Oreochromis niloticus: one gene and its partners. The protein of the gene in region 2 purifies or fractionates together with the protein of the main gene of each other region. This does not show direct contact. Links are inferred from orthologs where the notes say so. Each region holds a gene or a part of one and is shown on either strand. Other genes may lie near its edges.

Region 1 (10,098 bases), on a different chromosome or scaffold from region 2:
TTGGTCACCTCTGAACATAAACACACACATATTAGTGACTCAAAAAGGGTAAAGAAGGAACAAAGTATGACATGAAAAACGAGCAGTTACCTTTAAACGGGATCTGCCTAGACAGCACCTCCCACATGATGATGGCATAGCTACAATCCAAATATCAAAGAGGAAAACAGTTAAAGGAAGAGTTACTAAGTTGCCAGATATTGGCATTTCCCCTCATAGCTGAGGGACTTTAAAACAAGCCAGCTTCAGGGATGACTCTCAAAGCCATGACTGATTAACCCGTTGCAGCAAGTGTAACCTCTTGCGCAAAATTTACAAAGACTGCATCAGAGAAAAGTAGAGTTCTCTTATTAAAGGTGAAAAATAATCAGAATTGCTTTTCTGACAGACTCGTGGATCTCGACAGTTATGTCTGACTTTTTGTCTGGCATGACTGATTTAGCCTCCGACCCTGGGCCCTGCAGTGGTATGCAAACAATGCAATCTGAGGCAGGAACTCCGTTTCACCTTTACAGGAAGGAAAGCCTCATTTCCCTTAAATGCTTATTGTGCTCAACAAACACGGAAGTTATCAGAGTTTATAGTAACACAGTTAAGTCATCGAGATTTTTCTGCTACATTTTCAGGGAAGAATGTACATTTTCAGACTCACTTCTACATAATAGTTACTGGGTTCTGGTGCCTTACCTGTACATATCGTGCTTCACGTCGGCCCGACGGCTCTTGGATGGTTCGTACTCCTCAGGGGGCATGTAGATCACTGTACCCTCAGCAGGCTTGGACCCTGAGCCTCTACTCACTGACAGCTGTCGCCACTTCGATAGGCCAAAGTCTGCAATCTGGAGAGAAGCAGAAAGTTAGCAAGACGTGAACCGCAGACAGACCAAGTTATACAAAGCCACAGTTCTACATTTTGTGAGTCTTAAATTAATTCGTGACAAAAAGCCAAATAAGGTTGATAACTGCAGCAGGAGGACAGCCTTTTCTATAATATCAGATCTTTAAGGGGAAGTTACTATGCCTTTCTTAATTCCTGTTACAATGGTGGATACTCACACTGCCCTAAATAGTCAGTTTCAGAGAGGTTTTTCCCCCCCCTTCTACTGTTATCTCTATCCCCTCTCACTGATACTGTATTATCTTTATGTGCTCATATTAGGCACACAGCGTTGAGTGTCAGCAGACTAGCACCACCCACCTGTTGTTTAAACCTTCTGTTTGTGAGGGGCAGCCAATCAGAAGAAAGTTTAAAGGAGAGGAGTTTGTTTTACGGTCAAAAAACTTAAATATGGAGTTGATATGAGTATAATATGTCCACTTTAATTAGGCCATGAAAGAAAAAGAAATCAGTTTGAACAACCTGGTAACAATTGGTAACAACCTTTATATATACTTTTTATGCTAATAAAAAAAATGGTACATTTCATAAAGAGTAGTAGATCAGCAGTACATAGTGGATAAGCAGCACATACCCTATGTCTCAGTTACTCTGGTAACATACACAATACATGTGACTATAACTGTGACCACCTAAGCAGCTGTAACCTTTGTTACAGCTCCAACAAACACACTGACATGGGTAAGGTGATGTAATAGATTTTCCTGTTCTGCGCGCACCTCATACTTGACGCATACCTTAACATGAAATTCACCATCCAGCAGAATGTTTTGGGTCTTTAGGTCGTGATGTACGAGGGGTGGGTTCATGTTGTGAAGGAAGTTAACCCCAAGGGCGATCTCATACAGAATCCTCAAACGCAAAGGCCAGGCAAGAACGGGGTACAGGTCCTTCTGTAAGGCAGAGATTACAAAGATGGGCTAAAGACATAATAAATGTATAAATAAAAGTGGGAAATGTGGGTTTTACTACAGTGAAAGTACAAAACAATGCAAGAGCTTGAAATAAAGACTGAAAAAATTACTACACTCAGGCCAGTGGGAATTTCCCTTGTGCATAGCTGTCTGCTTCCCTCAATGCTCGGCTTGTCTTTCCCTACTTTCTTTTAGGTTTCATCAGATACTAATTACTTCGAGCTTTCGCTTTTGTTTACAGTCTCACTGACAGGAAACAGAGTCATACACTCACATGATGAGTGATGCACAAGAGAGAAAAACAACAGACCAATGCAACTCCCTCAGCTGACCTCTTTTGGCAACAAAAATCCAAATGCAACAACTATAAAACCTTTATTTTGTTCAGTGTGTAGTCTGGGCGACTCTCACAGGTAACTATTTAAACCAGGGAAAACTGGTGCCACTCAGTGGCAATCTAAATGGTTTGTTTAAGGATGTATTGCTCAGACTAGAAGAGTTCCTAGAGATAGGAAGTGAACTTGATGAGTTACCTCGTGGAGTAACCGGTCCAGAGATCCATTGCTCATGAACTCCGTGACTATGCAAAAGATACGAGGCTCATTGCAGACCCCAAAGATCTGGATGATGTAGTTGAACCTGGCTTTGTGGAGTACCTCGGCCTCCTTCAGCAGGCAGTTCCTCTCTCTGAAACACAGCCAGACACAGAATAAATAACAAAAACAAAATAACACTGACAGCACTTTTGTGATAGTGAGGTAAAGGAATATTTCAGATAAAATCCTTTTAGACACGCAGACCAAAAATGCAGAATACAATCCTGCTGAAACTCTTGATTACACAGAGGAGTAAAGATGTTACACGCAGGAATCTGAGAAATTCTCACTTGTGAATTTGGGCAGAAATGTTTTAGATGTGTGGATCTGAGTAGAATGACCCATTACTAGGTGACCAATAAACACCAAACTGAGTCATGATGTCTGGACATTTGTCTGAAATCCAGTTGGGCTGGTTCACTGTTGTTGGGATACACTGAGTTTTGTGAAACAAGCTTAAGAATTTCACATTAAAAGGTGGACTTAATTTTATAACAGAGTGGTATATTTGCATGCCTCCAGAAATAAAGAATGAGTGTAGGATTTAAAAAAAAGAAAAATATCCCTCAGTTCAGATTTGTGCCAGTCTGAGCAAACTAGCCCTCCAGCTGTAAGTCACTGGACACGTAAGCCACAGACTCTTTAGCCTTTTTCCTGCCAGAGGAATGAAAAACCTGCTCGAGCACTCTGAACACATTTCATTGAAATGTACAGGAAGGCCTCACATTTGACTCAAATTAGGTCAAGTGCTGCAGCTGTTACTGTGGAGTAAGTACAGGCTGACTTTATTGCATCATCCTGAAACAGCACAAAGTTTTTCTGTACTAGTGCAATTCATCTATAAATGGCTCAAATGTGTCTCCGTGACCTAGACCTTGTTACGTGAAGTTGTCTGCTCGGTGCTGAGTACCTTTCTATAACTGGAGAGTCGAGCTTCAGGCACTTGACGGCCACAGTGGTCCTCCAGTCGGAGTGCTTCCCCTTGAACACGGTGCCGAAGCCCCCTCCGCTCAGGTAGTACAGGTCCGTCAGTTTATTCTGGGGGATCACCGGCAAGGTGCTGGTCAGGCTGCCGATATCCAAACAGCCCGCAGTTGGCTCCATAGCAGTTTCTGAATCCCTTACGCGAAGTCTCTGAGGATTTATCTCCCACGGGTTTGGCCAATAAAGGCAGAACTACCTCTTTTGGTATAAACGTAAAGAGGAACTGCGCTCCCATTCACATGCATGCCACAACGTAGCCGACTGCTAGCATGCTAAGCTAACATTAATGTTGCAGAGGAGAGCAGAAAAACAGAGCAGCCGATAAACAGCGAATCCGCTGACCGGCAACAGCTGTCCTTCACCCAGCGACTACAGTTAAATGCGCGCAGGACCCAAAGCGAAACAACAACAAGAAGAGCGCAGCTGAGCTCCGCGCTCATTTAAGCAGGTGCGTTTGTTGTTGCTAATGACGACACGCTTCCGGTTTTTACGAGATGCGTTCACGAGTGTAGGTTTGGAGAACTTCAGACAGTTGACCCCGTTTTCCAAGCAGCCCTCTGAGCGCATTCAGAATCCCAGTACAAATATGGATAACAGCGAGGTAAGTCTAGGAAAAACACTGAGGAGGCACGCTGTTAAAATACCATAAATCATAAATGAGCCTTTAACTCAACTTTAGTTTCAGTTTCGCTGAAACAAAGATCCGCCTCCTGCGGCATGAACCCAATTGGTAATATTGGGATTTTTAGCAGCGGGAATCCCCCCCCAAAAACAGGGGTTTTCCTACAGATGTGTCGACGCTAAAGACATGTCAAAATCCGATGTTCGTGTCACGTGATCATAAGTAGCACTTTCTCTTTTCAGTAGCAGTATAGATTTTAGTTTTCCAGTGTTATTTTAGACATCCTGATAGCAGATTTTTAGATGTATCGATAAACTTTATTATTTTTATTGATTTTTAAGGTGTTTATTCTTTGATCGCTCCAAATTTGAGTTCATGTGATAATTGGGCCTTTTGGTAAGTCACAGTTAGTGTTAATTTATTGAAATTATAGGTATTTTTTGTATTAAATTTGACGTCTAAGGAGCTTGGAAAGAAAAGCGTCTGGACTTCTTTGAGTTGCTTGAAGACGTTTCACCTCTCATCCGAGAAGCTTCTTCAGTTCTAAGGGTCAATTGGTGGGGAGTCCCAGATTTAAACCCAGTGGGAGTTTCCCCCCCAAAGAGGGACAAAGGACCCCCTGATGATCCTCTACCTAATCACATGAGCCAAGGTGTGAAAGCGGGTGGGGGTCCTAATCAGCCAGGGTTTCGGGTGAGCTCATTGTGAAACCTGGCCCCACCTTTTACAAGTGCGTTGTTGTGATTTACTGAAACAGGATGCGCCCTTTTTGTGCTGTTGGATGAGACACACCATAAAGCACATGACTCTGTGTCCCTCTGTAATCTGAAACCAAGAACAGGCTTTCAACAAATCAGGTACTATGATACTGCTTACGTGGATGTCATACAAACTGCCTTGTGTTTTTGATGAGCCAGCAAGAGTATGGAGTGCGACAATCCCTGCACAGATCAGGTGGGAAACAAAGCTTGATTCTAGAAAACCCTGTGCTGTAGTTCCTTCACCCGCTCTGACTCACTGGAAGTGTTTGCACTGATCCGCTGTAAGTACACTACCATGCTCTCTGTGCATGTCCATGTGGTTCCCCCTGTGTTTATTCTAATTCACCATGTGTCCTTGTTCGCAGTACGTCACTAAGACCACCACAGATGGCTATTCCATTTACTCCAGTACCTTTTCCAGTGGACTGGGTCAGCGTGAGCAGGTCTTGTTTCAAAAGAGCTTCTCCCATACGTATCGACTCTTCATCTGCAAACTGTGAGCACTCACCTCCTGAAAGCAGAGGAGATGGTCCCACTGTAGATCCTACTGTAGATGAGACTTGTGGGAGACCAAGAGGAGGCCTGACAGATGGGCCATCCAGACAGCACAGAAGTGAAATGAGCTATGGGGAGAGCTGGATGGAGAGACCCATCACTCCGACACTGCTCGGCCACGAGATCATGGAGGAGAGGGCAAAGTTCACGGTAGGGATTTAAAGGGAGGGCTCTTCTTTTCCTGCAAAAGAAAGAAAAAGAAAAACCAAAGAAAAAAAAGGATCTCATATTTAGGGGTTTCCAAAATTGTGCAATCATTTTCAATGTATTTTTAAGTTAGCACATTTTTACATATATATCTTATATGTGAGTGTGTTAGCTGCATAATAAAACAAGTAAAAGTCACATGTTCAAGTCAAGAGAGCCAGGAACAAACTGTGTTAACAAGGGCAGGACCTTAAAAGCCTGCAATAAAAGCTTGTTGGATTTTTACTTTTATAAATAACATCACTGTTGGCTAAATGTCACACAATATTTGTTTTTTGGAAAGGATTTAGCTGAGTGGGCAAAAAATGGGTGAATTCCAAAAGTTGTAATTGCTGATGCTGATGGTGTCAGTTGAACACGCTGCCTTATTCAAAGCAGGCCACGCCACATGTTTGGAACATTTTCTTTTTATCGGATATGGGATTTGCATCTTCTTTCAGGATCAGTCAGTTTATGCAGATGTGCAAACCGTTACACTGTGGAACCAGAGGAACTCATATCATTTTAAAACTTGTCTAGCAAAAGAGAAAGAAAAGGCTGGAACAAAAAATAAAACAATCCTCTGATTGTTTTAGCATGAATGGCCTTATTTGGCCATTCTAACAGACATGGCCAAATAAGGCCATGTCTAAATTGGTTCATTCGAGATTTGTCAGCTACCAGAGTTTTGTGTTGGCGCTCTGCCTTTGGGAATTCCACGCTGGACTGACGTGGTTTTGTCTTAGCACCATGGATGAAAGTCGTCATCAGAGACTGAAGAAATAAAACAACTAGTAAGAGAGAGCATCTGTTGGCTTTCTAAATAAAGAACTTGTCATCAATGATTCAGGATTAATTTTATAATATGCATGCAGCTGCCTGAGCAGCTTTGCTTTCTGAAAGCATGCTTTTAATGACATCTCATTCAGTTTTATGCTGACGTACACTCAGACAGCAAGACGAATCCACTCACTCTAAGAAGATCTGAAAAACACTGACAGGAATAATATTGCAGTTTACAGTTTGTTGTGAGAAGAGGGGTGAAATATGCCAGCCAGACTTTCTTAATGTGTTATAAACGCTTTATTACAGATCATCTTATTGACATTACAGCTGTTTTTAAAGGATGCATTTACAGTTCCTTATACATGTTGTACTATCCTACTGCTCTTGCTCTTATGCGCGCCTGAAATGCACACGCATACAGTGTCAACTTGCTAAGGCACTCAGTGCAAACCAATACATGTGTCTGTTATTTGTCATATAGTCGTCTGTGTTCTGTAGGTTTATAAAATCCTGGTGACGGGGAGTCAGGGAGACAGCTGGGTGATCTTCAGAAGATACACAGACTTCTGCAGGCTCAGTGACAAGGTGAGAAGATATCGTGCACCTCAGCAGCTACATATTAGTGAAGCAGCCTATACACACATGGTGGTGAAATGACGTGCCGTGAGGAGCCCGGAGAGGCTTGAGGGGGTAGATTATATACGGCAAATGCTTCAGCACTTGAGTATCAGTGACTATTACTTTGCTCGTTCAATCTTAACCAACAACTTTTTTCCACATGCAGTTAAAGGATAGTTTGAGGGCTACAACAATCTGCTGCCTGATTTGTTCGGTACGCTCTGTTTGTTGGGCACACATGTTGCACCCCTGAATCGGGGAGAATATAACTTGAGTTAAGAACAACACAGCGACTGTTCAGCTCGCAGCCAGTCTATTAAATGACAGGGATAGAACCAGCACTCCCCCTACAGGTGTATGCTGTAGGTGGAGTGATACTGTGAAGCTATCAAACTCACCCCCATAAAATAAATTAGTCAGACTAATGAAAAACCTATAAAGTGACATTTTACCTCATGCATTTGTCCGATACACATGCAGACCTCGCTGCAACTGTTCTTCCATTTGTGGCACCGTGATTCAGCGACGCTTTCGGCTCTCATTGATGTAATATTGTTGCCATAGTGATTCTGCTTTCCCGTTTTTGCCCTTTTTGCTCGTCGCCTTGACGCAGCTTCAAGAGCTTTTCCCCAGCTTTCATCCAGCCCTGCCTCCTAAGCGCTGGCTCAAAAACAACTATGACGAGGAGTTTCTAGAAGGGAGGAAGGCTGGACTGCAGACCTTTTTGGAGAACCTAGTATTACACAAAGAAGTCTTTAGAAGGTGTGTGTGTGTGCATGTGTTGTGACTTTTTTTTCAGTACTACTCTAGTGGGTGACCTGAACTGTGTTTAACTTTGACCTGTACATAAAACCCTTTGGTTCCTCAGTGAAGCTGCAAGATGCTTTCTGTGTTTGGTTGAAGCACCGAGTCCGTTTGACAGCCTGGAGGAAAGCAGGGTGAGGACACGTTGCTCTCAAAGATATTGTCTCAGGGGCTGAATGTGAAGAAAGTTGTGTAGCTCAAACACCCTCTGTCTACTGTGTGGCGTGCAGGCCTTTTGCGAGAGTCTCGAGGAAACTCACCTTCGTCTTCAGAGTGAACTCGCGGACAAGCAGGGAGAAGCCGACAGGCTGAAGAAGACTTTGGAGGAGAGAGAGAACCGTCTCAACCTGCTGCTAAAAGAAGCCAAGTAATTATGTTTCTGTTGCACAGCTGGAAACACAGTGAAGCAGGAGCTGTACGCTGTGCTGAAACTGTTCATTTCCCCCGTCTCACGCAGATCCATGTCACTTTCTGCTGAGAGCTTTGAAGCTTCAACAATCACCACCCCCACAGACAGTGACACAGAGGACATGCAGTGACTGACACGGACAAAGAAACAAACTGTAAATAACATATTGAACCAACAAATCTAATCTCAGTCACCTAACACTGTTTTTTTAATGTACCAATGTTAATGATGAATAATGTTTTCTGTATTTTCTTCTCTAGGTGACAGTGACATGTGCAAGTGGTCATCAGACATCCTGCTGGTTCCTCTTAAACCCAAGTCCACAAGAAAGTCTATAATGTGACCACCGCAGTGCCAAAACAATCTTTGGATGCAGTTTAATCTAACCCTCCATGCATATGTTTATTTGATTCTTTTCAAGATGTCACTAAGAGAACTACCTCAAAATACCAAGCACATAGAAGTCCCATAATGTGTATATACCACATATTATGCTGCCTAATGAGGGAAAAAATCCAATAGATTCTAATACTATTTATTTTTTTTTATTTCTAAGTAACGTATTCAATTCATTTCAATGACAATGTTTCACTGATCTTGAATTTTAGTGTACACAAGCTCTTTTTGAAGCATAGGAAATATGAGAAAGCAAAATGACCACAAGGGGGCACTGTAATACAATAACAGTTTGAGAAAGTAAACGTCTGAATGAGAAGGAGACTGGGAACTTGATGTTCTGTTCTTATCTCGCACGGGGACATCTCTGTAAGATTTAAGTGCAGAGAAGCACAAAAGCAGGGGAGAGATGTTTTCCTCTTGAGTGGTGAATAACAGCTCGCAATCAATGAAAGAAGCCTGTGTGAATGTGTGTGTGTGTGACATCCATCCACGTAAAGCCTCATTCATGCGCCCCCATTATCACACTGAATGGCCATGTTGTTTCCTTTCACTCATTCTGTTTGAGTCGCTGAATAAATCCCAGTTACGTGTGGCTTCTCCGAGGTCGTGAAGGCTACTTTTATGCTGCCGCTGTGAGCAGGTTGGTGCATAATTATTAGATTTGTACAATGAAAACATTCGACTGAATGTGAGTGGGTTGTATAAAAAACAACCAGGAAGCAAATTAATAATAATAATAATGATAAAACATTCACTCTGAAAAACAGGTTGTCCATAGTCGGATATAAAAAGACACTTAAAGCTTGCTTGGCTGCAGAAAAACATTCATACTCTTTAAGTGATCCAGTGAGTCTGGCCACAGCTTACCCAGCAGTTGTGAAATATTGTTTTGAGGTGGGCAGAAAGAATTATGTATTTCACAGTGTTACTGCATGAAGAGATGCAGGTGGCACAGTGTTTTGTTTAATTATGACGGACAAATCAGGTGGCAAAACAAAGAATTAATGATTTAATTTGTAGTTTTCATCATTTCTCTGATTGTTTATGTTACGTCCCCTCCGGAGGGGTCTAGGCGTGCAAGTGAGGGGACCAGTAACAAATGGGTCCGGAAACAGAACGAAAAGGAAAACACACAGTTGTTTCTATGATAATATAGCTTTATTACACATGAAATAGTTCTCTTACAAACAACATTAACTTAAAGAGCCGGCAACGCCGTTTTACCTTTAATGCCAAAAAAACAAAGGAAACACTCGCAGCAACAAAAGACGAGAAAACTACTAAACAAAAAAGGAAGGCACTTTCCACACTTCCTGCTTAACTCCTCACCACGAAGAAGAGACACTCTCTGGGCCCACAAGCCCGTCTACTCACTAACCAGAGGGAGGCTGTCTGTCCAAAAACCTAGCACCAAGAAACCATGTAGAGCCACCAAGGGAAAACCACCCTGCTCACAGCTCATCCCCAGTTTAAGTAGCCTCAGTGGTGATTGCTGTCACGGCTCAGGTGGCAAACGAGGCAAATCAAGGGCAGCTGTGTCCTGGGGAGAGAGGAGAGTGAGAGAGA
Region 2 (10,354 bases):
TTGATGACAAACGCTGACCTTAAAGAAATGAAGACCTGCTTGGTCTTCAATAAATAAGAAAAATCCTGCATGCAAGCATCAGTTAATTTGTTGTTGAAGAGCCTGGAAAGAAACAAAAAGATTTTGAAAATTAACTGATAAAATTTTATTTAACTTGCAGTATTAATCACCTTGATAATACATACGCAATTTTCTGAAAGCTGTCACACTGGATGACTTTAGCAATCAGTTTGCGGATGCCCTCATCTGTAATGTTGTTATTTCTGAGGCTAAGGAAGGAACAATATGCATTTCAGAATAAAAGTTGTTCCTCTCTTACAGTGAAAGCAGTTAGGGAGAGTTTGTTCACTCTAATGAATTGGCGTTCAATCTATTAACCAAGGAAATTTAACAAAAGAAAAATGTATAATTTCCACTTACTAAAGGGAATTGCAAATGTGCATGCAGGGAAGAAGCTGTTCCACTCCAACATCACCCACAGAGTTGTTGTCCAGCTGGAGGCCTACAGGATTTCTTAAGTGCTGGAGCACATAAGCAAGCGCCGTGCACTCTACAGGTCCGATATTACAGTATGTCAATTTCAAATGGTCCACCTCCAGCTTGCTCATAGCATCTTTAGCTATCCGACTCTCCTGCATCTCATAGAGGCATTTTATAAGCCACACAAAGTCCGGCATTGCATGCATGCTCTTCTTTTCCCCTTGTACAGGTTGGGGAATGGACCTAAAGTGTTTCTGAATGCCTTTGGAAAGGCATCTTGCCACCTGTCTGGCCTTTTTCTCCACTGCAGCACTGGGGCAGCAGTGGAGCCACAGATTTTGATGGCGCTGGGACAATAGTCCAGACACAAACATGGCTGTGATTTGCAGATTTGGTGTCTCTGCTGCTTTACTTTCCTTCTCTGAAGCTTGCTGTTGTTGATCACTGGAAGGCAAGCAGGCTGTAAAGCAGACACGTGTCAGACCTGTCTCCCTGTTCTCTAGCTCAAAGAGTTTTGGGATAACTGAACGGTTAGTGTTACTTGACAAAACAATGAAGAGAGCAGCAAAGAAACATTGCAATGTCACATGACTGAATTCATAGCATTTGGAGTGAGTAGAGGACATATCTTTGCTTTTTATCAGAAAAACCATGCAGATATCCTTTTCAGTTACACCGCATGCTTCTAGGTCTGTACCTGAAAAAATATAACAGGTGGATGTTATCCCCTCAAAAGCAAGCTGTCCAAGAAGAAGGACTGTTTTTAGGTGCTCCTGTAGCCAGCCTAAACCCATGGTGCTCTTCAGAGGACTTTGGTGCTGGAGAAAGTGCTGTAAGATCATCAGGTAAACATCTGTAATTGTTTTGGGGCTGCCTTCTCCACAGCCCAGCAGCTCCTTATGGCACTGTGAAACTATCCAGCAGAGAACTGGACTGTGACATAGTCCAAGTAAAGCTGTGTTCGCCTGCATTGACTCTAAAACCTTAGCAGCTACAGTAGGGTCCCTGTGATGTTTCCGTACAAAACTGTCAATCCCAGTTGGGGAAAACCCTTTCAGGACAACCTCTTTGCGTAGGTGCTTCTTTAACAATGGGCTCACTGCTTCTGAACGGCTAGTGACCACTTTCTGCACCCCCTTCATGAGGGAACCCTGGATTAAGTTGAACAATAATACATGAACAGGTGCACGCTGGGTGGGGCAGCAAACTCTGTGCTCATCTGTAAAGCTCTGCTTGAGCTCATCCAGGCCATCAAAAGTGAACAGGATTTGATGTGGGTGGTCCAAGATGAACTGGAAAATTTCTTCTTGGTTCCGGTCTGGCCAGCAGCAGTGCTGAAACAACAACTCCTGGACTGACAGTTCATTGTGCTCTGAATTCAACCTGCGACAGCTGAATGGAAATAGAAGGAGAAAGTCTTGAAGGGCTACCCCTCGAGCCCAAAGCAAGTGCAGCCTCTGGAGAAGGGTGCTTTTTCCACTGCCTGCCTCCCCGGATACTAGCACTGTGTCTGCCTCCTCATTCACTATACCCACCAAACCAACGATGTCTTCCAATCCCAAAGGTCCATGGGCATTAACTTCGGCTAGTTCCAGCTGGCCATCAGTGTAAATGTCATCGAGAGACATATGGCTAGTTCCCGCATAAGTACTGAGAAAGCAGGCTTGAGCAGACACAGAACTGCTCAGCTTCTTCTGGTACTTTAAAAACTCTGTGAAAGAAAAATTTGTGAAGAAAAGATGGAATGAGTGAACCAGTCATCATTTCATACATCCTGTATATCTTTGGTCAAATCTGGAACATGCATAACTGATCTTGGCATGCCTGCCAATTTTGTATTTTCAAAGCATAACCAGAAACCTTCTGTATTTGGGGCATTTTTCCTATGAGGGTGATCAAGGATAGCTTTACTCATAAAAACGATATATATTTCTGCGATTTTAAACATTGCTTTTGACAGTAACAGACCTTTGGGAGGAGTCAGTTCCCTCTGGTTAAGTGGCAATCCAGGTTCTTGTTTTTGATGAATGTACTGCAGGAGAACCGATGCTGCTAAATCACCTCTGGATCTGACATGGTCAAGCAGACGCCTTGCCTGATTGATCACATGGACATGGATGAAAATAATAAAAAGTTTATTTTTGACAGTTATTTGGATTGTTGCGGAGTTAGATAAAAGACCAACTTACATATTCATAATCTAATAATGCAACAGCAGAAAGAGCTTTACCTTGCTTAGCTTAGCACAAAGACAGGCAGCAAGTGGTAAAAACCTTGCCTGGATCTATACAAAGGCAGCAAGATATGTTTACCAGTTTTCTTTGTATTATTTTATATTACTTGTATAATTACTCAGGAATATCAGAATAGTATCAGATCTATTTAAAGTAATAGTATTGACTGATAAAGTAACACAAAAAGTAACAAAAATACCCCAGCACGTCTGCCTGTATGACATCTAAGTATCAGGAATGCAGAAATAATGACAAGCTTCATTCCAAGACAGTTTAAAGGTAAAGAACAACTGTATAAAGTTGTCAAACCACATTTTAACAATGTGACGTTCAGGTGCTTACAGTACCTGTTGGGTGGGAGTATATATAGGTAACCGCACTTCATCACAATCAGCTGAAGAAAAGTGACCTGAATCCAGCAGAGCTGCTAGAACACCATCAACACAGCCCTGAAGCTTGTGGACAAGGCTTGGTCGTTGAGCCAGAAGAGTTTGATTAGAAGTGCTCTGACATTCATCGTTTTCTTGTAGATTTGAGCAGGATTCAGAGAAGGAGAGCCCCACTGCCTGTGCTTCAGGCAAGGCCAGTTTGAGAGCAGCTAGAAAGAGCCCACATGTGTCCACACCCTTTGTATAGACCAGATCAAGCAGCTGTCTTGCATTGGTATATAGTGTTCTTCCTGGTACCTGTATGTTCTGGTAGTCCTCCCATATGAGCGCCCCCTTGGCAAGCAGTATATCCAGAACTCTCTCCAGATGTTCTGCTGACCCACTGCTGCACAGTGCATGCAGTATCTTCGTCCTTTGTTTAAGCACTAGTTCCTCGGCAAGCATTCTTTGTCCATATCAGTGCCCATGCTCAGGGACATTCAGTTTGTGGTTACTTCTGCTTCTTGTGGTGTGAAAACCTGTCACAGCAAATGGCCAAATGTCATCATGTTACTATGGGCCAACTAGAGCTTCCTTCTTTCTTTTCTAACTCTGTTTTGAATACCATACAGCAGTACATGTCATTTTGTGCGTCTTTCTGTTAAGCCATAACAAAAAGTTAAAACAGAATGAAAAGAATATATGGCTACCATTACATACACATCAAATGTGTTGCAGGTCCCTTTAAAACATGTACAAGTACAGAATAGTCGACTACGCGACCTCAATTGCAGACGCAAGTAACACAAAATAAAACCACAAAAAAGAACACTTACATTTAATGGGAACATGGCTTTCTTTCCTCCCTCTGTCATACGAACAGAGCCGCTGTAGAATTATAGGGTCCTACCGCTTCCCTGTTCTGCAGCTGAAAGTGAAACTTGCTCTGCTTCCAAGTCCCTCCCATAATATGGAAACTAAATACAGGCGGAGATGTGGCATAGACGCAATGCTCAACTTCCCTGGTGTTTTCCAAACAGAGCAAACAATGGTGACTTGATATTTAAGGGTGGTTAAATATAGCTTGCCACACTCAAGCGCTTATATTTCACTGAGACTTCCACATCCTCTTGTCTTGTTTGCAAGATACTGCATACTTCAGACCACAAAGAGGAACTGCAGCTTTTAAAAATGCAGAAGGTTGAATAGAAAGGGTAATTTTGGGTGGGTTTTTTTTCTTTCTTTTTTTAAAGAAAGTGACGGAAACTTTTACGGGTCCTAGGTATTTCCATCCTCGTCGCAGTTTGGTGTTGTAACCACTTGATGGAACTATTGCATAAGAAAACAACATGGTGTCGGCAGAGATTTTCCACTTTTAACAGTTTCTTTTAGTATCACTAAAGCTGTCTTCTTCGAATCAATTCAATCAGAGCTCTAACTGTGTCTGTGGGCACAAGATACTGCGGTTTAATTAGAAATCAAGCAGAAAACCCCAGCAGATTCATAAAGAGGTTGTAGGGAATCATTTTGCTACGGTATCAGTTTTACAATGTTAGAACAGAAACTGAGAACCTGCAGTCTAGGCGTCATGCTGTGCATCTGATCTAAACTTCAAAAAAACCCAACCCTAAAACCGCACATAATGCTCCTTACTCCCTCTGCATTCTTTGAAGCTGAGATAAAATAGGTGCGAGAGTGGCTTTTCGGGCAGTCATATATTTATCATTTTCATTATTACAGCTCCCTCCTGAGTAACATGATTAGCTTATTGTGTGTGTTCGCTGTGCCCTGTTCGAGAAAATCCTCAAACACTCAAGGGCAGGAGTAATCAAAGACAAACTGGAGTAAAACTTTCAAACGGGAGTTTCTCTTCTTCTTTTTCTTGTTCTTCTTGTCTGAAAACAGGCAACTCCACCAAGGGGAGTGTAATGCAGAGTGCTCTCTGTCAGGCATCTTACTTGAAGCTTTAAGGTGGAGTTCTGTTATCCAAATCACAGCAGGGGGTCGAGAGAAGTTTCAACACATAAGAAAAAGGGTAAAAAAAATGTCGAAAATAAAAAAATAAAATACACACACGGTCCCAAAAGACATAGCTGTATTTCTGTGCTCTGTTTGGAGACAGTTCCAAACACTTTTTTTATTGCAGGAAAAATATGTAACTCCACTTCATTTGTTTGGGCTATATAATATTCTTCATTATTATTATTATTTTTATATTATTAGGAACAGTTTTGTTGCTCAATCACTTTAAAGACAACTCTATATATATAAAAAAAAATCTCCTTGGGCAGTCTTTATCCTTCGAGCACAGGTCCTCTACCAGAGGCCTGGGAGCTTGATGGTCCTGCGCAGTATCATAGCTGTTCCTGGGACTGCGCTCTTCTGGACAGAGATGTTGTTCCTGGGATCTGCTGGAGCCACTCACCTAGCTTGGTGGTCATGCCACCAAATGCTGGGATTGCCACTAAGACTACTGTTGCCTTCATCCTCCACATCTTCTTGAGTTCTTCTCTTAGCACTTGGTACTTCTTCAGCTTCACATGTTCTTTCTTCCTGATGTCGCTATCATTCAGTATAGCTACATCTATCACTCTGGCTGTCTTCCTCTGTATGTGTGTGTGTGTGTGTTTGTGTATGTTATTTATTTATTTATTTTTCATGACAAGCCTGAAATCGCAAATTACATCAAATTACCCTTGAACCACAGGATCTAATCCCTATCTTGGACTTTATTGGACATGAATGTTAAGTCTTGATCCACCCAGCACTAAATAACCTCATCCAGTAAATCAGCTTTAAACTGTATGTCTATGAGTAAGAGTGCAGCTCAGGGCTGGATCCTTCTCACTCTCGTAACAGAGATGGAATACTTTGGCTGCAGCCATTTTATCACTGTGCATTCTTTCTGTGCAGATATCAAAAGCACATGTTGTGAGCTCAGTGTTAAGCCAGGTGCACTGATGGGCTGTTTGTGTACTGATTGCTTTACCAGAGATTCAGAACTCCCAGAAGCAAGCCGTCATGTCTCATTTTAGTGTAGTCTTACAGTTACACAAAGTGTGCTTGTTTTTAGAACATATGTAGTGAACTTTGAAAGAACTATATTGCAAAAAAAAAATAACATAACATGATATGACAAAATCAAACAGTCAAATAATCAGAAGCTGTAATTGATCACTGTCAGGGAAATTCGGTACAATGACACCACAAACATGAGCACACCGATTTGCATTATTGTTAAAAACTACATGTATTGACTTAAATTCAATCAGCTAACAGTTTATGTGTTTGTATCAGATAGTGCTTCCTTAGCAGGTTAGTAAAATTATAGTGGCACTTTGTCAAAAAGACTTTGAAAAACAGTCATATCTCTTTTATAATTAAAATTTGAATAGTTGTTTCAGAGATCAGTTCCCATAACTCCTAAGCATAATAGGAAACATAAATAAGATGGAATATTAGAGATGTTTTAATAAAAATACAGAGAACTCCAAACCAGTGATGCAAAAAAAAGCATTCTTCCCAGTATGCTTGTTTACACAAGCAGTAAAACCTTTATTTTAACAGGTTGCAAACTAAAAAAACAAGGCAGCCATATTATCTGTGGTATTGCAGGTTAAAAAGCTGAGTGTATGGTATATTGACATGCTGTAATATTGCTTTCCACTGAGAGAATGGCTGAGTGAATTACCTCATTCAGTTTATAAAGTTAAAGTTGGAGGACAACTACTGCAGCATGCATGGATATAAGACAAAAAATGCCTTTTATATTGGAAGGATTTATGTATAATTAGAAATAGCCTCTTCAAGCCAGAAAGACAAGTATTCAGCAGAGGAAGTGGATGGCGTCGCTTTCAGAGCTGACTGGTTAAAAGGAGCATGTGTCCATGATGATGTGTGTATGGGTGTGTGTGTCAATCAGGATTTAATTGACAGGAAGATTAAAGCTCACATCTGAGAGCTCCCTTTTTGCAGGAGCAGCCAAGTTGAAGGAGTCTGGTCTCCGGCATCTGCCCGAGGTTTAGGGTGCTGCGCTCAAGGTTAGCGCAAGCACCCTGCTGAGTGTGCGCTGTCTGAGATGGGTCCTACTTGTTGGACATTCATTATCAAACTCTGTTTGCGCCTTTCATCTGCAGCTCTCTGCAGCACTCAACGTAAACTACAGAGGCACCTTGCAGCTTGACACCTCTCCATTCAGTCTGTACCTTAAACAGCATGCTGCCACATCAAAGAGCTGCGTCTGCCTTTGATGTTGCAAAAAGAAAGAGCTCCAATGATCTACTAAAAACCAATGCAACTTTCTGGAGCCTTGTTTTATTCATTTGCTATCTCGAGAAGTCTGGAGTCAGCCTCTGGAAGTCCAGACAGCAGATTTGGACTTTGAAAAAGTTGGACAGTGCAATTTGCAGAATGTACTGAAAAGGAACACGCTGCTGCCTTTTATGTTGTTGTGGCGGGGTTTATATCTTATGGTGAGCTATTTAATTCATAAGTTAAAGCTGATAAAGACTGAGTTTGGATATAAATGTATGTAAAATGGCCAAACTTTGCTCTCTGCGTTATTACATCAGTTCATGCAGTGAAACTGCAAAGATCAGGCTACATATCCATATCCTGGATCCTCTTCCTAAATTAAACCTCTCATGCATACTATAGATTCCTGTAGATGCAAAACAATCTATTTTAGCTTTTCAAAAATGGACTCACTGTATAGCCTCACAATCTCTTTTACCTTGCAAAGGAAAAATAAAGGATGTATTGTTCTTTACTTACCATTCATTTGACCAAGTTTTAAAAAAACATAGGGATCAGAATATACAAGACATAATTAAACTGTGATCCTTGTTTGTTGATGTTTTATTTTTTTTTATACCCAATACTAAATAACATAATAGTAACTTAATAAACAGATTGTGTTTGCTTAAAATGCTCACATTGTTCTGGAGGTATGATATATAAGAAGTGGAAAATATTGGACTAGTGGAAAAATAACTTTCAGTCCTATATACGAGCCACCACAGCACCAGAGCTAAACAAAGTCATTGCCATCTTAGTAATTATAGGGTGAATTAAATCCTTCTAATTATGATTTCATCAGCTATAACAAAGGAATTGTCCAAAATGAAAAGTGGCATTTAATGAAAATGAGTTCTGGGTCAGTCACACTGAACTTTAACACTTTGTCAGCTTGTTTCCTAATTGAATGAACTTGACAATAATTGAAGTGTTTTATTTTTGCCCTTCTTTAGACACATAAAAGACTGCCATGCCAATTAGCTTTAATTCTCTATTTCCCCTTTTTCTTTTCATGCTCTTGAGGAGGCTGGGACCGGCATATTCCGATCATTTGCATTATCCAAAGCAAATCTGCTTTGAAGTTCTGAGATTCTGTAAGAAAAAGGATCCACTTATCCCACATGAAAAAATGTTCAAAGCTCATAAATTCACTGGAACAGATGTACATTATCATTGGATTTGCCTTTTCCCCCCTCTTTGCTCCTTTATTGGTAATAGACTACCTCATGTCCTTCTCATCCTTTAGCGTTTAGCATCTTCCCTTTACAGAAGCTAGCACCCTGCTGTGCCAATCCACACTTCAAAGCTTTTTGCCTATCTGCTGGAAACAAAGCACAGAGGACATATTATGGCAGCCTCTCATTTCCCCATATTTAAGTCAATATCATTGCGTCTTGCCAGTGGTATCACAGAGACGGGGTTTATTTCTATCCAAAAAGACCATTCCTTGTAACCCATGTCTCCCAACAACTCAAATATAACACAGTACACATTCACAGCAGCTGTTTATCCTATTATAGTCCCAGCTAATGTGGATTTTTTTTCCATGACAATCACCAGACTCTTCATAGCCTTAAATATGGAATAACCACACACATGGTTATTATCTCAGTAATGACATTAAACTAAACATAAAAAATAATCAAGGTTTAGAAAAGTCACTGTGTCACTATTAGGAAGTATACTCTACTGTGCTGAGCTCCTCACCTTTAATTACACTAAGCAACTGTCACTTTGAATAATATCCTCTTAGCCAACAGCACACTTAAATACCTCTATGATGTGCAGTGCTGAGAGAGTGCAGCTCTTTATTTTCTTCTGTAAGCTGCTTTTCTTGGTAATTGTTAACTGTAATTGCTGTTAGTAGAGTGTATGTATAACTGACACTGTGCCACATGCTCAGACTTTCTATATATGGTGTAAACCAGAAGCTGACCTTCCATCCATCAGTACCTCTACATCACTTGCACGTATTTATATCGACTATTTATATTAACTGGACTTTAAACTCATATCAGCACACGAGTTTGCACAGCATATGGCAAGTCAGATCTTTCTCATTCAAGGATAGAGAAGACCTGATTGTAACTGTAGCAATTAATAAAATGCTACTACTATTACTATTAACAATAATAATAATAATAACTGATTTATAACATTATGGTTTCACAGCACAAAAAAAACTTTTCAGGTGGATGAAAATGTAATGAATCTGGTTGTTAGACTTTCCTATCCTTTACTGTAATTTATCTTAATTTACCCAACAGCCAGACTTTTTGAAGCACCTCATAAGCTCAGCAGTTACTCATCCAAAAAAGGACAACTAGAGTTCATTACAACTTGCCAATTAGTATTAATGGAAATCAATACTGATATCGCCTGACACCTTGCATAATTTTTGCTATGACTGCTTGCAGACAATAACAAGTTGCTAGTTGTTTAAAAAAAACTGTTAGCAAACTAGACATCTGGATTGCATCTCACAATGAAAAAAATCTTATATTTCCTATTGTCATATGACACAAAGCCCATATCGGCCAAGCTAAGAATAATGATATAATCATATCTGTTTCAAGTATGGCTTTTTTTGGAAGTCACATGATAGTAGTCCAGCACATGTGAGTGAATCCAAAGCCTTTTTTTAACAGCAGGGCAATTATTGCGCTCAACAGAAGAAGCAAGAGTTTCATAAAAAGCACAGTGGGCAGCACTGTAAAATGAAAAAAAATAATGTCCGTCTGTATTAACGAGCTTATAAATAAAGAAAGAAAGAAAAAGAAAAAGAACTGCAAAAGAACAAAGGTGGCAAATGTAAGACCACATATTTATTTTGCTTGGCTGGATGATAAATCAGTTGAAGAAGAACAATGAGAGCGCAATAAAAAGGGGAAGTCATTGCATGTGGAAAAGCATATCTAGATCTGCTTGTCAACTAAAAATGAGCTGAGAAATGGTGATAGCCCTCACTGCAATGAC
Region 3 (10,491 bases), on a different chromosome or scaffold from region 2:
ATATCTTGACAGCAGATCGGACACTTGTTGAGGGCCTGTGAACAATTCTCGCAAGCAACAAGGTGAGCGCATGGGATGAATACAATGGCAATATCTCTGTCCATGCATATTTTGCACTGTTTTTCCCTCTGCAGCCTCTGTAGTTTCTCCAGTGGGTCCTCATCTGACAAAAAAGTAAATAAATAGAAGTCAACACTGCTCAGACTTTGTTTCATGATGTATCTGGGGCACTGAATTTAAAAAAAAAAAAAAAAAAAAAAAAAGACAAAGAAAAATGTACCTTCCATATCTTCTGAAACTGGATTTTGATGACTTGGAGCCTGGAAGCAAACAGGGAAAAACAAAATCCTGTGATTGAGATCACTGAAGACTGTAAGTCCTTGAATTATGACGCACCTTTAAGTCCTTGAATTATGACGCACCTTTCACATGCTGAAATTGAACACTAACTAAGCTTATTTTAACTAGAGCCCAATCTGGGACTACTGATGATTTTTCAGGTGTAGAAAATTAAAATACAAATATTCATATACACCCATTTATACACATAAAGTATGGCACATTTCCAAAACAAGTTAGTGATTGTCTGTGAAGAACAATGTGAGCCTTCCTGCTTTGCAATCCATGATGAAAGCCTTTCTAAACTAGCCGTAAGATTTTCAGCACTGTTCAACTTTTCATTTGGGCACATACACCAGACCAATAGTGTTGATATTGACCATGCTCCAAGTGAATCTTAATTTGTAGTTTACGCATCCACAACTTGTGGAAAAAGCAAATACTTACAGCTCTGTCATGTTGTGGTCTTTGTAGGTGGATGCTGTTGACAAATTCTGGCCCTTTGTTTGCCAAAAGGAAGCTGCACCTGTTTTAAAACAGCATGTACTTTGATTAAAACAGACACAAATGCCACAGAACAAAGAACAAAGTGTGTGTGTGTGTGTGTGTGTGTGTGTGTGTGTGTGTGTGTGTGTGTGTGTGTGTAAAAGCATATTAAGAAGAGGGAGCATAGTCGTTCTTACCCTGGGTAGTGTTTGGCATGCTCCACCCAAGGGTCTTCCTCAGGCTGCCAATTGTTCAAGCCTCCACCGCACTGGAAACACAAGACTGCGTCTCCTCTTCCTGCAAGGATACAAATTACATTTGATTGCATTCACAGCTACCTACTAGAAAATTTCAATCATACAGTTTAAAATGTTGCACAATGTTTCTTTAGTCTTAAACACCTGAACACTACCTGTGCTATAGAAGCCAGCTCTGGCAAGCCTCTCGTGGTCAACAGGGTGCCAGACACCAGCAAAACTAGCACGCCTTGCCTCAAAACTCTGCATTGAGGCTGGGTCATTTGCACGCTGATTGTTGCTGGCATCCTCCTCTACACCTGTCTGGATTGGGATGTTCCTGACGTCATGCCCAAGGATAAAGTAGCAGTTGGGATAATGCTTGCTGTGCTCACTCCAGGCAGTATCTCCTGGTTCCCACCCATTCAGCCGACCACCACAGCAGAAACACTGAACCTTGTCACCCTGCCCCACGTAAAAGAAACCGGCTTGGGCCAGATCTCTGGGTCTCACCGGAGCACTGTTGGGCCAAGAAGAGAAGGTCCGAAGTCGGGCTTCTTCATTTCTCATGTGAGGAAATATAGGGTAGGTGGCCTCATCAACCACTTCTCCTGTTCTCAAACGATATTCCATGTCTCCTACTTCTTCACTGATTACTGCAGTATTGGAATTCTGGTTAAAACTGGTACGGTGGACGCAGGTAAGAAACATGCATGATGGAGAAAACTGTGAGAATGAGAAAAGTAGAATTGGATCAATGTGGAAGAAAACCAAACAGACAAAAAAAAGTGAAATATTAACCACTTCGACTTTTTCATGTTACAAGTTTGATTACCTGCATGTGCTTGTCTACAGGTCTGTCTCCTCTGTACCAATTATCCACAGTCATATTACAGCTGAAACAGCGGACACGGTCAGACTCGCCGGTGTAGAAGAAACCAGCCTGTGCCAGTGTTTCCGCAGGCACCTTGTTAGCAAGGTTGGAGCCACGGAATGAGTCTATGCGTCTTTTCAACGAGGAAAAATCAGGCGCATTGTCCGTCTCCCAAACGCCATCTTCACTTACATCACACATGATTGAAACAGGAAGCTGTAGGGATTTGTTAACTTGATGGACAGATGATCTGCAAATAGAAAGAAACAGAATATGTTTGTTGGTTTTTGGTTTTTGTTTAAACGGTACAGTGTCCTCATTTGCTTGTTTGTTTGTAAACAGACACTTCAGTGGTTAAATTCCCGCATTTCCATGTCTGGCGCCAGAGAGCCAATCTGCACATCTGCAGGGTCTCTGTACCTTTAAGAGAATGCCAGCCTGTTATCACATGCAGGAACTGAATGTTCCATGTGAGGGATGGGCACTGGAGAGGCAGGTTTGTCTACAAACACAGTGCATATTAAACCACGTAAAAGGTTATACCGCTTGAAGATACAATGCAGCAGAGACCTCAAACAAAAGGCCCAGGGGCCAGAAACAGCCTGGCAAAGGCTCCAATTCAGCTCGCCGGACAGCTTTGGAAAATGTGAAAGAAGGAATATATTTTGGGCTTTTGACTGTAGTTTTACTGCTTTTCCTATTGACAGAGACCTCCCCATTCATAATACACCAAAGTAATTAAGTAATAGATAAACAATTAAATGACAGAATAGTTCCTGTTTTTTCTGTCTACAATAATAATAATAATAATAATAATAATAATAATAATAATAATAATGTCTGTTTTTTCTTTTCAAAAGGTCTCCAGAGTTTTGTTTTGTTTTTTAAAGAGAGGAGGCAAGCATTTTCTGTGAATTAACAGAAACTTTCTCCTTTACAATTACAGTACAGTCTGAGAAATGAGCTGCCAGAACTTCTGAAAGTTTATGCATTTATCCCTTACAATTTAACCCTGGAGAGCTGTGCTGACAGATTTTGTTTTTTGTTTTTTAAATCTACTGCAGCAGTGTTTCTATGGCCTGAAGAAAATTTGAGAAGTACTGTTGAAATCACCCTTCTTTGATACCTCAAGGATGAGATTTTGCAGTTAAACTTCTTAAGGCTGAGAGTAAGGGCAGTTTCACTGGGTTTGAGGTCTAAAGTTAGCTTGTATGTGGCCTTAGAAGAAAAATGAGTTTGACATCCTTGCAATGCAGAATATGAGGAAAGAGAGCAACCTAAGGATGATATGCAGCAGTTTAAAGCACAAGCCACAAAATAACACATCAGTATTACTGCTGAAGCAGTAGAGAGGTGTGGTAATTTAATTTAGGAGCTCACCTTGTGCATTACCAACAAGTAAATCATGTAGCAACACATCATGAGAAGCACGCCTTACTGCCTCTTATGTTAAGGGTTTGACTTGTTAACGCCTTCGCATTGCTGTAACATAACTCAATGCTTTTCTGCGTGAAACTATGATTTCAGAATCTTCACATTCCTCAGCGTCATTCAGTGTCACAGCTTGACGCAAAATGGACTTATCATCCAACGACAGCACACAGTCGCCGATTAAACAACCGTTTAATCGGTGACTGCGTGCTGGGTCAGTTGCTTAAACAGCTGTTTATCAGCTGATCCGTTGCTGTATTGATGGGATGCGATCTTTGAACTGTCTTTACGTGTCTGCATTATTTCAAGTAAATCAATCGCCAGCGTCATCCCTTTATTTATTTATTTTTTTTTAACTTGAGCCAAGACTGCATCGTCCCACGCATTAAAATACTCACTTTTTGACTGCGCACGACATCTAACCGAAAGTAAGCGACAGGGGAGTTTTCCCCATTAGCAGTTCCACGTGTTGCTTTTAGTATGTATTAATGATCAGATTGGCGACGATTTGACCCCCCAGCAAATTCCACAAAGGCCTCACAGCTTTGCTTCAGTTGAAAGCGACACAGACGCCGTACTGTTTCTGGGAAACGCCGAGAGCAACAGCGCTGATGACAGCAAAGACCTCGCTAAACCCACACCGTGTTTTCGTTCAGTTAGAAATTAGTCAATACAGTTACCTAAAGGTGCTTTTATATGTAAAATGTAAACACCCAAGACGACAATCTTGGACTCTGACCTGTGCTTTTGATCTGTACTGCTAGGCTCGTAAGCGGAATCGCGAATGCTAGCTTCAGAGTGCTTGGTAGCTACATTAGCTTAGCCTTTTTACGCAACGCTAGCTAGGTCACACAGTGACATATCGAATATAATAACATTTTAAATGTTTACCTTTCAACACAGCTCCTCTGTTTTCTCCAGTCAGTGTAGAGTGTGAACACCTCGGAAAGGAGACTCCGGTGAAGTCTTTTGTGACCTCCCTGTCAGGAAGTGAAAACCACCTAATCAGGTGACGTCAGGAAAGGGTTGTGGCCTGGTGGTTTTCCAGCAATATCTGTGTTTGCCCAGATATCTTGGAAAAAGAAATTTTTGATGTTAATTATTTTTTTTAACCTGGATTACTTATATAAGAGTCATCTTGCATTTAAAAATGCAGCTTCTACGTTCTGATCAGAATGGGGGGTTTTTTTCGCTCAAAATGGCTTAGGAGAGCTATGTTTATAAGCCAACAAGCTACATTTGTAGTCCGTTTTCTGATTTGGTTGCATTTCAGCTGTCAGCTACGCTGTTTAATTTAAATGTATCTCCTATCTAATCCGCCAGTCACAGGGCAGCAAGTCAATGCACTTAGGAAAATGGCAGAAATGGTAAAAACGACCTCAAACTGAGCATCAGAATGGGGAAGAAGGGTGATTTAAACACGGCTGCTGGTGCAAGATGGGCAAATCTGATCATAAACTGCTAATCTACTAGGATTTTCCTGCAATACTGGTATTTAATAAATAAATAAACAAAAAAGAAGAAAAACTATTCAATGAATGCCAGTTCTCTACACAGATTGTTTCAAGCTGCTAAGAAGGTACACGCAAGGTATGAAGAAGCGCATACTCTGGTATGAACGCCACACCTCGGTATGTTGTTCTTTGTAATGTATTGAACACACAATGAACTTTGAGGTAGATGAGACTCAGCAGTAGACTACACCTGATGGCACTCCTTGTCAGCTGAGAACATGTTTGTACATTTGGATTAAACAAGATAAGATAGTGGATCCAGCCTGGCTTTTATCAGTGGTCCAAGCAGCTGCTGATGATGCTGAAATGGCACACTTTTGGCCTCTTAATACCAAAGGAAAATAATTTAAATGGCACAGCCTACTGAGTATTGTTGCTCTCCATGGCCATCCTAAAAATACCTAAAACTATTCATTTATTTTTAGGCAATTTGAAGCATCCTCAATTTATAGGCTGGCCAGATCCCCACAAACTCAACGTGGAACAACATTGGACCTATTCCTAACACTGAGAATCTTTTAGCATGTGCTAAAACTTGATATTTTTGTTACGTGACAGTCTTTTCACTTTCATGTATTCTTCTTTTTGTCCTTTAAAACTATTATTTACTGTTGTTTCAGTTTTCTCCAACAATTATTTGGCTTCCATCAACTTATCCATTTCTTTTGAGCCAAGTTTCATGTGAGACTTACAAGTAAGAGTTCCCTTCCCACTAGTTTCATGTTTATTCTAGATTTATTTCCCTTTGTGGTAGTTCCACAAAAACCTGCATAGCTTGTGGGTTTGTGGGGACAATTTTCCACTTCAGTGTGGACAATTAATTACCTGTGTAGACACCCTTTGCTGCTTCCGTCACAGCCATTGAGTAAAAGGCAGACTATAGAAAAGAAGGCTGAAAACTAGCGCCAATAAAAATGTGGGCCGTAATCTCAACATGTGGAACAGGGAACAAGAAACAAAGGCTTTGCAGCACTACGTCAATAGGGAAAACCTGGTCACTTCTGTTTTCCACTCACTGTTCCTTGTGTTGGCAGTACTATAAATAACATAACATATATGGCATATGACTACTACAGGATTTAAATATCTGTTGTGGCTGGGTTAGTTTTCAGGTTGACATGCTATATTCAAAGATACGCATTATTTAAGATTTATCTTAAAAACAATGAAGCTGCACAACTTTATTTGTTATTCAGTTAATCTGAAACCTGAGAAGTCCAAAAAATTAAATTACTAAAGACAGCAGTATGTCATTCACGAACAACACATTTATTAACAGACTGAACTTCATGTTTTACATTGACAATTCAAATTTAATAGAAAATAGCCTGTAGGGTTTGAAAACCTGTGCTCAGACTGGGTTTCTGATCCAACAAATAAGATCTGTGCAGTCTCAAAGCACCATCTGAGTCCATCATCTCATCTTCCACACCGCACCGCTTAAGGAGGACTGAGCGGGATGGGAAATCTTAGAATGTAACTTGGCGGTTGGTGGTGGGGATTTAAGCTGGAACAAGACGTGTCGGTCAGACAAAGCATCATCCCTCCACGATCCGACGGAGTATGTTCCCAAGACTGCCCTTTGCTATCTGGAGCGGGGTCTTCTCCTCCTTGTTCTCAATGTAAATGCTCGCTCCATGTTCCACCAGCAACTTGGCTGCTTCAACACGCTCTTCATCGCATGCAAGATGGCTGGGAGAAGAAAAAAATAAAAATCAATGCATAGCTGTAAATACAGAAATGCCTTTTCCCCCTCCCTAATGCTAGTCACACTGTATAGCTAAAGTAATGTGGATGATAACTTCTAGTACTGCTAGGGTAAGTAAGAAAACATTTTCTATTTAGGTATAATTAGAGTTTATCTTTGTATTCATATTGCATGATATTAAAAAAAGTTGCATTTGACATATATGTAAGCATACAGAGGTGTGTTGCCCTGTGAGTCCTGAATATTTGTTGATGCACTCTGTTTGAGAAGCAGCTGGATGAGCCGGTAGTTGCCCTTGGCAGATGCTCTGTGAAGAGGCGTAGAGTCCAGCTTGTCAGTAGCATTGGGGTCTGCTCCATTTTCCAACAGCAGCAGGGCAATCTGCAAAGAGGTAACGATGTTTCATTCATAAGCTGAACACCACACTTTTACATCCAGTTATTTCTAGTTTCTGTGAAATACCCGTTTTCGGATCTCGTCATTTTGGTTACCACAGTCATGTGGAAGTTTCACGTTAGGAAGTGAGACTGAAAGTTAGGACAATCCTGACTGGAAAAAAAACTGTGGTTGAAATAAAACCCCGTAAATGTCAAATGAAATCCATTCATGTCATGTGCAAGTCCTTGTGAGAGAAGACGATGAAAAAATTCAGTTTCACGATCTTTTATATGCACATCTGATCTAACAAAAAAATGCATCTTGATTGTTGCAGTGTGTTGCTTGGACCCCATTTCCCACCACCTCAAGTCTCCCATATATACATAGGTCTTTATTAAATCTTTGTAAACTTAGCAATGATATAGGTATAGGCAGCATACATGCTACAACAATGTCACAATATTTGAGATTGCTCTGTTCTTATATTGTTATATTATTATCAGTTATACTGAAAAAACATTCTTGTTATCATAAAAATAAAGCTGCAGGTAATGATTTGTTGTATTTTTTTTAAATAAAGCTGACAAATCAGCCTTTTTTATATCCAAGAGATCCTTCTCGGAGAGCAAGAGGGGATGTATTGATGTATTGGTGATGATGGTTCAGAACAAATAAGAAATATTCAGGAAAACCTTCTAATACTCCAGATAAAAACAAGTACATAAATAAAACTTCATTGCATGTCCAGAGGAAAGGTTACAGTCCAAATGAAAACTGTACAGCAAACAGTGAACACAGTGGGAACACATTACAAGCGCGTGTTGACGGTATCTTTGTAATACCTCTATATGCCGCAAGGGGGAGACAAATATTCAGCACAACAAGTTTATTCTTAAATATAAGCTGTTTTGTTTTGTTTTTTTTACATTTGAGAAGTATAAACAACCCATATTTATATTTTACTTATTCCTACGGGGTTTCCTTAAACGTAGTAAAGCTCATATCTACAAGTTTCATTCTAAAGAGAAAACTTTATGCTCATCTAAGAAAAGACAAAAAGGCACAATCGAATCCTGGTACCCTGGATGAGAACATGTTTCAAGAATTTAATAGCCTGTTGCGTGTACAGGGCTTGACTAATAGGTGACAGAGAGTGGTTACTCATAAGCCAAGCCCTGTGTGTATAGGGTGCAGCGATAATAAAGGGGTGGTAACATAGGGGTAATGAGATTCCGAATCCACAGGAATGCAAAGCCAGTACAAACCATGGGAGAAAGATAAGGGAAATAAGAAAAAAAAAAAGATAACAAGAAACAACAAGACAGTTGTGAGTGTAGGTGATGGCATTGCTGTTTATCTTGGTGTGAGGAAAGTAAAAGCAGCAAACAAAGGTAATACATTAGTCATTCTATATGGGAGAGAAAGAAAAAAATGTAATGAAAATGATCCTAATAAGAAGAGGAGGGCTTTTAGACATTCCAGCAAAGGCAAGCCACAGAATAAAGGCATGCTGTAGGGTCCAACACCTGCCTCCCCCATGGATGCCCCTGTCTCAAGCCGGCCTCCTGCCATGCTTACTCTATTCGAGTGCATACATTTGTTTTTCATTTATCCCCCTTTCCTGTGTTCTGTTGTACTTTATATATTTGTGTCAATACTCAGTTAGTGTGACGCACTAGTAGAGCTTGTGTAGAGAACAAGAAACCCACCGGTGTAACCCACCATTCAGCACCCCACCTGTAGCATATTACAGGAGAGGGGCGGGGAGCAAATTTGAAAAAAAAAAAAAAAAAAAAAGAACAGCAACAGATAAACGATTAATTTGAATTAATATGTGATTATTCCTAATGATTATTACTATATTGAGAGCCAGTGTTATTGTACTAATGTCAGGTAAACTGGGCCCTGAAAAGTCCTACTTTTCATAATTATCTTTTTTCAAAATGCTTAGGACACGTTAGCTCAGATCACATGACCACAGCTGACTGAAGTCTTGGTGTGTTTCACTTCAGCTTTGAGTGGCTTACCCACTGTGTCTAAGTGTAGAACAAAAACTGATGACATTGCAAACTATGAAAATACCAGCAGGCACCAGTTCTACCCCTTTATGCCTATAGTAGAAATCTGAAAATACCCTATCAGGCTTTTAAGGTTGTGGGTAAAAAAGCTTAAGAGTCATCAGCAACACCAGGAGTGGCAACAGCAACCACAGCCAGGTTTAGTGTCACCCACAGTATTCACAGTATAATTACTGATGGCACTGTAGAAGTCAAAAGATACATACTTCACTGATGCATTTGTTCTAAGGGCACATGATGCACTAATGTATTTGGAGGAATGATGTGCTGTTTATTCAAACTTTTACATCTTGGAAAAAAGTAAAAAGAACAAAACAAAACAAAACAAAAAAAACTTAAAACCAATATATACCCACAAGAAGTGTATTGTTTGGTTGTAGTTTTTCCAAGGCTGAGGAGGTAATTTGTATAAAAAATAAAAATAAAAATAAATAACTAAATGCCGAGTCTTTAATATATTAACACGTGTGTACATGCGTGAGACACGCTTTATCAGTCTCAAAGTTTTTCTGGCTTTGGTGTATGAGGATTTCTCCAAATCATGCACTGGTCATAATTATTGTTAGCCTGGTATAACATATAGCTTTGCTTAGAACTGTGGAAAACACGTTTGTTCTGTGTTCACAGAGTAGACATCATCAAGACATGACAATAGTAAAAGTGGCCAGTGGGTGTCACTGTGGAAATTGTTTTGTAACCTCAGTACAGTCCTGGCACAAATGCTTCATATGTATAACTACTTCACACAGCTGCGCTTTGCCCATCACTAGAAGACACTCACAGCGGTACCTCTCCCCTGAGCTACACCACTGACAACAATTCGAACCAATAATTTCACATTTGAATTCATAACTCCATCAGATGTGTTGCCACCGATTTCAGTCCAGTTCTTGTGTAATTTGTCATACTTCAGCCTTTTGTCCCTATTTTCCTTCCTTAAGAATGGCTTCTTGACAGCCACCCTTCAGCTGAGACCATTTCTGAGGCTTCAGTGAACAGAAGATGGGTCAACAGAAGTGCGAGATGCATCTTCTCAGGTTGTATGTCAGGTCTTTCCTTGATTTTTCCTATTTTTTGAGAACATGACTTAAATATGTTGTTGCATTTGTTGTAGATTGCCTGCCACTTCTTTTGTCTTCCACTTGTCCACTTTCCTCACTTTCTTTTAAAGGACATACTGCACACCGTGGTGAGGTTTGCCATGTTTTCGGCGTACAAGACATTTTATGCCTGTCAATCTTTTTTATCTCTGGCATTATTGTAGATTTAACTAAAGAAATGGGAACGAATTGTGTTTTCATGACAAGCTGCTAGTAACAAAGTGTCTAAAGATACAATTTAAAATTGGTTCTTTGCTAATTTGTCTGTTATGTGCAGCCAACACTGGCTCATCTCTTGAGTTAGGTGCCTTTTTTTGTTTGTTTGAATGATTCATAGGTTAGTGTAT

Evidence for each region.
Region 1: the proteins of nod2 (region 2) and ripk2 purify together in Homo sapiens (affinity purification with western blotting; 12 studies listed by BioGRID and IntAct, with this or other methods). This does not show direct contact. The link is inferred for Oreochromis niloticus from reciprocal best matches to the Homo sapiens genes NOD2 and RIPK2.
Region 3: the proteins of nod2 (region 2) and xiap purify together in Homo sapiens (affinity purification with western blotting; 3 studies listed by BioGRID and IntAct, with this or other methods). This does not show direct contact. The link is inferred for Oreochromis niloticus from reciprocal best matches to the Homo sapiens genes NOD2 and XIAP.

The regions. Positions count from the first base shown.
Region 1 is NC_031982.2:10,259,122-10,269,219, forward strand, and holds the start of ripk2 (receptor-interacting serine/threonine-protein kinase 2), read right to left. Parts: upstream 3,845-10,098; 5' UTR 3,513-3,844; coding exon 3,319-3,512; intron 3,177-3,318; coding exon of another isoform or gene 3,115-3,176; exon of another isoform or gene 2,509-3,114; intron 2,500-2,508; coding exon 2,346-2,499; intron 1,792-2,345; coding exon 1,636-1,791; intron 840-1,635; coding exon 688-839; intron 141-687; coding exon 91-140; intron 11-90; coding exon 1-10. Other genes in the region: sorting nexin-16, read left to right, coding at 3,115-3,176, 5,141-5,480, 6,801-6,887, 7,534-7,682, 7,789-7,858, 7,955-8,091, 8,182-8,263.
Region 2 is NC_031965.2:31,483,524-31,493,877, forward strand, and holds the start of nod2 (nucleotide-binding oligomerization domain-containing protein 2), read right to left. Parts: upstream 4,178-10,354; 5' UTR 3,919-4,177; intron 3,622-3,918; 5' UTR 3,548-3,621; coding exon 3,062-3,547; intron 2,576-3,061; coding exon 2,449-2,575; intron 2,192-2,448; coding exon 421-2,191; intron 270-420; coding exon 186-269; intron 103-185; coding exon 19-102; intron 1-18. UniProt on the Homo sapiens protein: Pattern recognition receptor (PRR) that detects bacterial peptidoglycan fragments and other danger signals and plays an important role in gastrointestinal immunity.
Region 3 is NC_031966.2:30,954,410-30,964,900, reverse strand, and holds the start of xiap (E3 ubiquitin-protein ligase XIAP), read right to left. Parts: upstream 4,415-10,491; 5' UTR 4,258-4,414; intron 2,186-4,257; 5' UTR 2,137-2,185; coding exon 1,897-2,136; intron 1,788-1,896; coding exon 1,238-1,787; intron 1,123-1,237; coding exon 1,023-1,122; intron 866-1,022; coding exon 787-865; intron 321-786; coding exon 281-320; intron 164-280; coding exon 1-163. Other genes in the region: psmd10 (26S proteasome non-ATPase regulatory subunit 10), read right to left, coding at 6,419-6,572, 6,803-6,969.